2 linked regions of the Macaca mulatta genome follow. The protein of the gene in region 1 purifies or fractionates together with the protein of each later gene. This does not show direct contact. Links are inferred from orthologs where the notes say so. Each region holds a gene or a part of one and is shown on either strand. Other genes may lie near its edges.

What was found.
Region 2: the proteins of CCDC68 (region 1) and CEP170 purify together in Homo sapiens (co-immunoprecipitation; 3 studies listed by BioGRID and IntAct, counting the BioPlex papers as one, with this or other methods). This does not show direct contact. The link is inferred for Macaca mulatta from reciprocal best matches to the Homo sapiens genes CCDC68 and CEP170.

What each region holds. Positions count from the first base shown.
Region 1 is NC_133423.1:26,038,231-26,042,479, forward strand, and holds the start of CCDC68 (coiled-coil domain-containing protein 68), read left to right. Parts: upstream 1-1,449; 5' UTR 1,450-1,599; exon of another isoform or gene 1,600-1,666; intron 1,667-4,249. UniProt on the Homo sapiens protein: Centriolar protein required for centriole subdistal appendage assembly and microtubule anchoring in interphase cells. Together with CCDC120, cooperate with subdistal appendage components ODF2, NIN and CEP170 for hierarchical subdistal appendage assembly.
Region 2 is NC_133406.1:5,952,879-5,956,700, reverse strand, and holds part of CEP170 (centrosomal protein of 170 kDa), read right to left. Parts: intron 835-3,822; coding exon 358-834; intron 1-357.

The sequences.
Region 1 (4,249 bases):
CCCAGGAAGATTCTGAAAAGCCCTTGGATATTGAAGGATTTGGATTGCAGTTTTCTCAATCTGTTAAATGTTGAGGAGGGGGGTGGAAAAAATACACCTTTTTTTCCCCCCACAATCCTAAAAGTTTATTAACTTTCAGAGAGACACAGGAGCCAACCTGAAAGAGTTCCCAGTGGTCAAAGCTGGAACCATCTGAGCAACAAAATTAATAATGTAGTATTGAATTCTAGCCAAAAATATAAAATAAATATACATGGGTCCATATTGACATAACAAATACTGAAATAAATGATTGAGTAAACAAGAGAGATGGAACAAATCTTCCTTACAGAATAATTCTAAATAATAATATATGGATACTCCATCCTCTGGGATGGAGTTTAATCTTGCCCTCATCTTGAGTGTGGGTTGAATGGAGTCATGCCATTCAGAGTAGAGTGTATGGAAAGAGAAAAACAGCTTTGCAGTAGATAAACCTGGCAGACACAACCTTAACTAAGGGATCAAGGTCAAGTCACCAGTGATAAGTCACGTGGCCATCGTGCCATCATCCCTGAGAGGATGAGATGGGAAGGCACTTCATCTCTGAGGCTTTCCTCCCCCAAGTCTCATCATGAGAAGAAAACAGTAGACAACACCCATATGAGTGGGTGTCGAGGTACCCCCACAAAACTATACCTTACCAGAATACTTTATCACAATACTTTACTAGAATTCCTTACAGCTGTCGAAGTCAAGAAAAGACAGAGAAACTATTATGAATTAGAGGAGACAAAAGACACAGGAAGTTAAATGCAGCATGGTATCCCGGCCGGGATCCTGAAAGGGAAAGGGGTTAGCCTAAAAGCTAGTGACAGCTACATCAAGTCTGGAGTAGTGTTAATAGTGGCAGATCAATGTTAATTTCTTTTAAAAAATATTTTTAGTAGAAATGAGGTCTCGCTGTGTTGCCCAGGCTGGTCTCGAACTTCTGAGCTCAAGCGATCCTCCTGCCTGCCTTGGCCTCTCAAAATGCTGAGATTACAAGGCGTGAGCCACCGTTCCGGGCCCAGTGAGAATTTCTTAGTTTTGACAAATGTGCCATGGTTGTCGAAGCTGTAGGCATTAGGAGACACCGACTGAGGGGTATATAGAGGACTCTCTCTACTATCTTTGCAACTTTTTTGAGTTCCAAAAGAAAGTTTTTTAAAAAAAAACAAAAAAAAAATGCACTTGTACGCCATAAATTTATACTAAAAACAATAAAATCAAAGATTATTTAAAAAACAAAAAAGTTTATAAACTTAGGGTGCAAATAGAAACTTCTTGAAAAGCAGCAGCCGATCCCCTCCCCCAACCCGCCTGTACAGCACCCTAGCGAGGGGTGTGAGGGTCACAGCCTGGCTCTCCCGCGATGGGCGGGCGCGTCCAGCCGCGACTCCTCCCCGGAGCCTCACCGGCGCCGGACTCTGCCCTGGGCGCGCCCCGCGGGGCGGAGCCAAACCTGCGGGCGGTGGCGGCTGCACTCCCAGGACCCTGGCAACCGACCCTGGCCCCAGGGCCCGATCACCCAGGGGAGGAGCAGCACCGGGACCCCGTGCCGGCTGGGCGCCCCCCAAGGTAGGCGAGTCCGAAGGTAGGGATCTTCGGGCCCGGTCCCTGCGGCGCGCCCCCGCATCCCCTCCAGGTATGTGGGTGTCCAGGTGTCTTTCCAGCGGCTTCCCCAGCGGAGCTCCTGGCATCAAAGACATTTCCTGTAAAAGGGTCCTTGGTGAAGAGGTAATCCTTCCTGAAAATCTAGGTTCTGGGCTCGAATTTCCTGGGCGAGAAGTTTCTTCTCCACTGGGAAGAGTTACTTTTTTTCCGCAGAGAGGAACCCCTACTTAACCCGGCGCACACCTGATTATTTATTTAGGTTGTTGTTATACAATCCGTTTGTCAGGGGTCCCCGCGATTTCTGCCTGCTAATTTCAGAGGCTGTGGAGAAAAGTCCTGCGGTAAACGCCCTGACCTGGGAACTCCAGCGTGGTGACTTTGACAGGTCACTGCGCTCGTATTTTTTAAACAGCAGAGATGAATGAGGGTGGCTGTCTTCATTCATTTGTCCGGGCTTCCGCAGCTGCAGGTGTAGTTAAAAGAACAGCCCATTGCTTGACCGTTTCCTGCATGTTGAGTAGGCATCATGAGATTTTAGAGCTGGAAGTTACAGAGTGCTAGGCAGCTAGACAAAGGAACACTTACCTTACTAAAGACTAGTATGGGACCGTGCAGGTGTAGTTTTTAGACTGGATGATAACATAGCTGTGAATTTTCAGCCTTTTTGGAAGTGAAGACAAAATTGAATATAAGGATCAGAAAAAGCAACAAGCCCTGAAGCTAACTGAAGCTGCGTCTGTTCCCCATTATATTCTAATTGTTTTATTTTAGGAATCAAAACCTCTTTTACTTTCTTGGTGTATATAGATCGGATGAAGTGTCAGAATACAAAAAGGAATTATTCTGTGTTTGTGATAGAGAGGAGATAATCTGTCCTTTTGATTTTACCTAATGCTATTAAATATTCAGAGCTACTGAAGTCCGGTTTTCCTGAAATGTGAGCTGGGCAGGAGTGTCAGGTACCCTGGCAGACACAATTGGTGCTGTTGTTACGCTTTTCCCCTGCTGCCCACCCCCTTCTCCACCGCACTCCCAGTTTGAGTGAAGGCCCTTGACACAGAGGAATTTCTGCCCAAGGCAGGGAGTGTCCCCGTGTGGTTCCTCAAATGTTTACAGAAAGAATGAAAACAACTATACTTCCTGGGACCCGGGCTGACGTCACAAGGCCAACGTCATAAGAAGGTTCTTACCTCTTGCTATTTACAAAATAAATTGATCCCTTGTCCTAACTAGAAAGAGACTTTTGAAATTAATACTGATGCTATTTTGTGAATTACGGATAGGCATGTTATTTGTTAGCTTATTTGTTTATAGTGTGCTCAACACTGAAGGTGAGTTGTAATCCAAATTTTGGCCAAAGCTAAAAAACGTAAGCTAAATTTAGACAAAGCTGAAAAATGAGGTGTATGTTTGCTTGGAATAATGACTGAAAGGGAAATAACTGAAGATTTTGGTGGGAATGTAAAAGTCTTTTAAAGTAGTAGTTTCTCATCTTTTGAACTGAGATATTTACATCAAAATTATATGGCTATTTATTGACTGAAAATATTTCATAATGGCAAAATTTTACCATGAATTTACTAACATGTTTAAATGAATGTCATTTACTAAAATGACATTCAAAAACAGCCATTTATGTGGGTTTGGAAAACGAGAGAGAGAGAGAGATTGTGTGTGTGTGTGTGTGTGTGTGTGTGTGTACATTCAGTTTTAGAAACTATTTGGTGCATCTGTAAATTTGTGGGCCTATTCATGTAATCACTAAAACAATATTTATTGAGGGCACTGTGTTCTGTGTGAGAGAACCAGATGGGAGGGGAAGAAGGTCTGGGCCAAACACAGCCCTGTGTAAATAAGACACAGTTCTGTCCTCCTGGAATTGACTACATTGGAGTCCTCCAGGCCACCCCAAGTCAAGGCCATAGATTTACAGACCACAATGATCCATTCAATTTCGACCGTGACTGAAACCAGATTAGTTTCGAATCACATATTTCCTTAAATTGATTTAAATAGTCAAATCTAAAAATGATAGAGGAGCTTGTGTGTTATTCTAGTCAGTGGTTTTCTCTTTTGTTTAGGTTGGGGAAGAACTTAGGAATCATGTGTTTCAGGCTTAATGCTATGAAATATTAACTTAAAATAGCTAAGTATCAATTTCATGCAAATTAAATAAAAACTAAACTTGTAGTATGGATCACAATAATCTAGAGACAAAAATTAATAAACAAAAAATTTAAAACGGAAAAAAAATCTATCCATTAAATTATTTTTTTGCTATAAATTAGAAAAATATGACTATAATTAGATTTTCCCCCTGGAGGAAAACAGCCTCTTTATTCAAGTTATTCTTACTTTTCCTTCTGTTTTTTTTTTTTAACAGCTTTATTGGAGATATAATTTACGTACCATGAAATATATCTAAGTGTTTCAATGATTTTTGGTAAATTTATTGAATGGTGCAACCATAAGCACAATCCAATTTTATATCATGTCATCATTCCTCAAACATCCCTGGGACCTGTTTGCAATCACTCACCATTCTTACCCCAGCCCCAGACAACCCCTAGTCTATTGTGTCTGTTTAGATCTGCCTTTTCTGGACATTTCATAC
Region 2 (3,822 bases), on another chromosome or scaffold:
AGAATTGAACACAGCTTTTCCTTAAATCAAGAAAATGATGGAACTCATCTGCTAGGGAATCCTACTGGTGAACTTAACAAATTTTGTATTTCTAGAAGAAAAAGAAACATGTTTTACAGCATAAATATAAGTTCATAAAACCAATCTGGTTTTGTCAAGAAAATGAAGAAAGACTAATTTGAGCGAGGAAGTTGGACATGGGTGGTGTGGCTTCCTCTTGAGTTTTAAAATTAAATATAACCTTTGAAAAAAGCAGAATGTTTTCTACCATGTAAATATCTACTAGTAGTATAGTAACTGCAGACTGGATTTTCTTTATCATAAAATAGGAAGTTCTGAATGATCAAATCACTTTACCTTTCAACCTTTTCAAGTACACTGGAACATCACTTTTAATGCTTTTAGAATCCTCTTCTGTTCTTTCCCATAGCATTTGAGGAGGGTTGTTTTGTGCTAGCCAGTCAGCGACTTTGTTTTCGGGCGCCATCATTCCTGTTTGAATCCCCGGCAAGTCCTGAGTTCCAGGAGAAGACTTCTTGGACTTGTGGCGCTGATCAGAAGTAAACTTTGTCACATGGTCTCTAATAGTTACCTTCCCTGGGGTACTGTCATCAAATTCAATGGTAAATGAAGCATGCCCTGCACCTGTTATATGGGAACTTGGTGTGTCTTTTGTTGGGATTTCATGAATAGTGCTTTCTGTTATTTGTGATGGTTGCTGGAATTCTTTTGTAGGGATTTCAAAATAACTTGGTTCCCTACAGAAAGGAAAAAGTACTTCTTCATTTGCAGCTGCAGATTGTTCCTCAACTTGCTTGGCATCTATGCTGCACCCTAATGAGAAAAATAAGAGAAAATTCAAAATATTTGATTGCTTCTGGCACTTGAAGGAGTCTGGTAATGGCCATGTGTACTACTCCGTGAGAACTAGAAGGCAGATCACAGTCTGGATGAAAACCAATGGCATTTATATTACAGAACAAATGTCATAGAGAAAAAAGAATCTTGATTATAAACATGCTATTTGATTACCAACAGGGGATGCAAGATAAGCAGCAGCAATGGCAAATGAGAGCAAAGCAGGTAAGAAATGGATCTTGCATGGCTAAGTCCATATTTTTTCCAACTTGGATCTAGAATTCATTAAGGTCCAAAAGAATTAAAATAAAATGTAGATGGAGATGCATGTTCAATGTATACATAAAAAGTGACAGAAAAACTATGAACTTCCTTCTCAAGTCACCAAGATGAGATATGTAGCACATGTAGTGCTTCAAAGGAGAACAGGTACTCAAATGAGAATATAAACATGAAGTAAATATGTAAGTGATCTTCTGGAAGTAATGATTCCACTTACCATTCTTCACCACTACATTCAGAAACATTACTTTCAGAATGACAAAGATATTGCTGAAGTGCGATCCTTGCAAGAAGATACAAACTTTTTATAAAGACTAAAACATGTGGTTTGCAATCCAAGCAGCAGTGTGAAAGAAATAAGGTTAAAATGGGAAATTCAGTTTCCAGACAATGACTCTGGAAGAAAATCAGTTTACTTTTCTATACAGCAGAATATGCAAAAGTGTCAAAAATTCTTGGAGGAAAGCTGAATTGTAAACCTCAGATTAACATTAGTTGGCAGAAGGAGCAAGTAACTCTGGAACACTATCACTACTCTTCTATCGCCTCAGAGTCTAATACAACAGTCTAAAAACAGATGCATTTATGAATAAAATACATGAATAAAATGCATTTATGAATAAATGAAAATGACAACTAAAATGTTTTTGGCATGTTATTAGGTAGTGCAAATGCAAAAGAAAAAAATTAAAGATGATATTGTCCTGTTGTTGAAGAAGCAAAGCATGTCCATTATCAAGATGAAGAGCAAGTTCAAATGAGATATATTTCCCTAAAGCTTGAAAATAAACTCTGCTTTTAAACAGATTAATAGAAAAATCATTTACAGACAATTTATTAGGAAAACAAGGCAATACAGGGAGACCAGGCTGTTTCCAAACATTTTCTAAGTAAGTGAAGCATCTGATCTTTTGAAACATCTTTTCAAAGATTAAATTTTAGTGGGATCTGTCAGGTACTATAATTGGTTTCTTGACAGCAGTCTGAATATGAAATAATAAGAAACCTGACTGCTTTTAGGTTACAGAAGAATGATATAGTAACATCCCTTTTCGTAATCAAATGTGTGGGGTAGGGCACTGAAGACAACAAACTCCATTTTCACAATAAACATAGTAATAATAAAGTGTCAAAAAAATCTAAATAGAAGGCAAGGAGAACATGTAATATGAAAGATTATAATTTTCACTGTAAAAAATTACCCTTTTAAAATCTACTCAGTTTTCCTATCACTGAACATGAAAGAATAGTATTGGAAAAACTCTACATTATCAGAGAAATAATCATACATTTATATGACACGACCTAAAGTTTTAAAAAAGTTTGATTAAATAAAGAGTTAATTTATCTTTTTCTTAAAAATAAAATGTTCAGCTGGACTTTTGAGTGTTTACTCTGAAGTCATGTTAGTTAAAATTTCCATTAGAATAAAATATTAACTACTCCTCATATATTAATAGTTCATTAATGTTATTTTTCTATTTTTTCAGACAGTGATTTTTTTTAACTATGTACAATGTACTGTACTTGATCATAAACTTGTTCATAAACCTGTCCTCTCTCCCTCCCCCCATACAGACATATACATATAGTTTGTTTTTGCTTTGCTCATCCTTCAGGTGACAGAACAAGGTTAAGATGGTAGTTTCTAATACCACTACACAGAGAGCCAAGTCAAACTGACCCACTACACAGGGAGCCAAATAAAATTGATGTGGCTCAGCTATGAAGCAAGTAACACAAAAAAGCTGGCCAGGGATATAGCACTTATCAACCACTTGTTGCTCATGATTCAAAGGAATATTATCTCAATTTTCCTCCCTTGCAAAAAAAGTTCACATGCTAACATTGACATGTTTCAACATGTTTCATGCATTAAGACAGCTGAGATCAACAACTGCACTGCATTGTTTTGGAGGTTACCATTCCCAAGTTAGTACTACTTCAAACTCGCACTTACTCAAAGCTAGAAACTTGAGACTTACACAAGTTAATAACTAATTCATCTAGAAATCAAGCACCTAACCATGTCACGCAGCACAACAGAGTGGAAAGGCAGCATGTTATGATCTGATGATCACAACCAGGCAGCCGGTTTCGTGCAAAGCCCAGACAAGATCTGAAATCACATAAATCTTATCTCTAATCAGTCTGCAATCCTCATTTTCCTCATCATAAAGTGAGAAAACACTATCTTCCCGTAAGATTGTTGTGAAGATTTAGTGGGATGAGTATTAAGTGAGATCATGTAAGTTACCCAGAACAAAGCAGATATGCAAATAAATGCTTCTCCCTCAACTTTCAAAAACAGCTGAGAATCAGGAAGACAAAAAGCTAATACCAAAATCTAACTTTAAAAAACCCAAGACAGATATGACAATGCCTATCCTTAAGTATTCATAAACTTTACTAACAGTTAAGATCTTCACTGAGAGATTTTTACTATTTACTCAGATCACATGTAGCAAATCTTGGGCAGGGTACAAAAAGTGAGGATTAAGGACAGACAGACTGCACCAAGTGGTAGAGATAAGATGAAAAACAAGAGCAGACAAATGGCCCCAAAAACATGGTAGTCCAGTACCATTCAGTACATAGGGCAAACAGTCTTATATACTACAGTCTCCTGAGGACATTATTGTAAGGCAATGTCAGTATTATTATATTATTAATATAATTGAG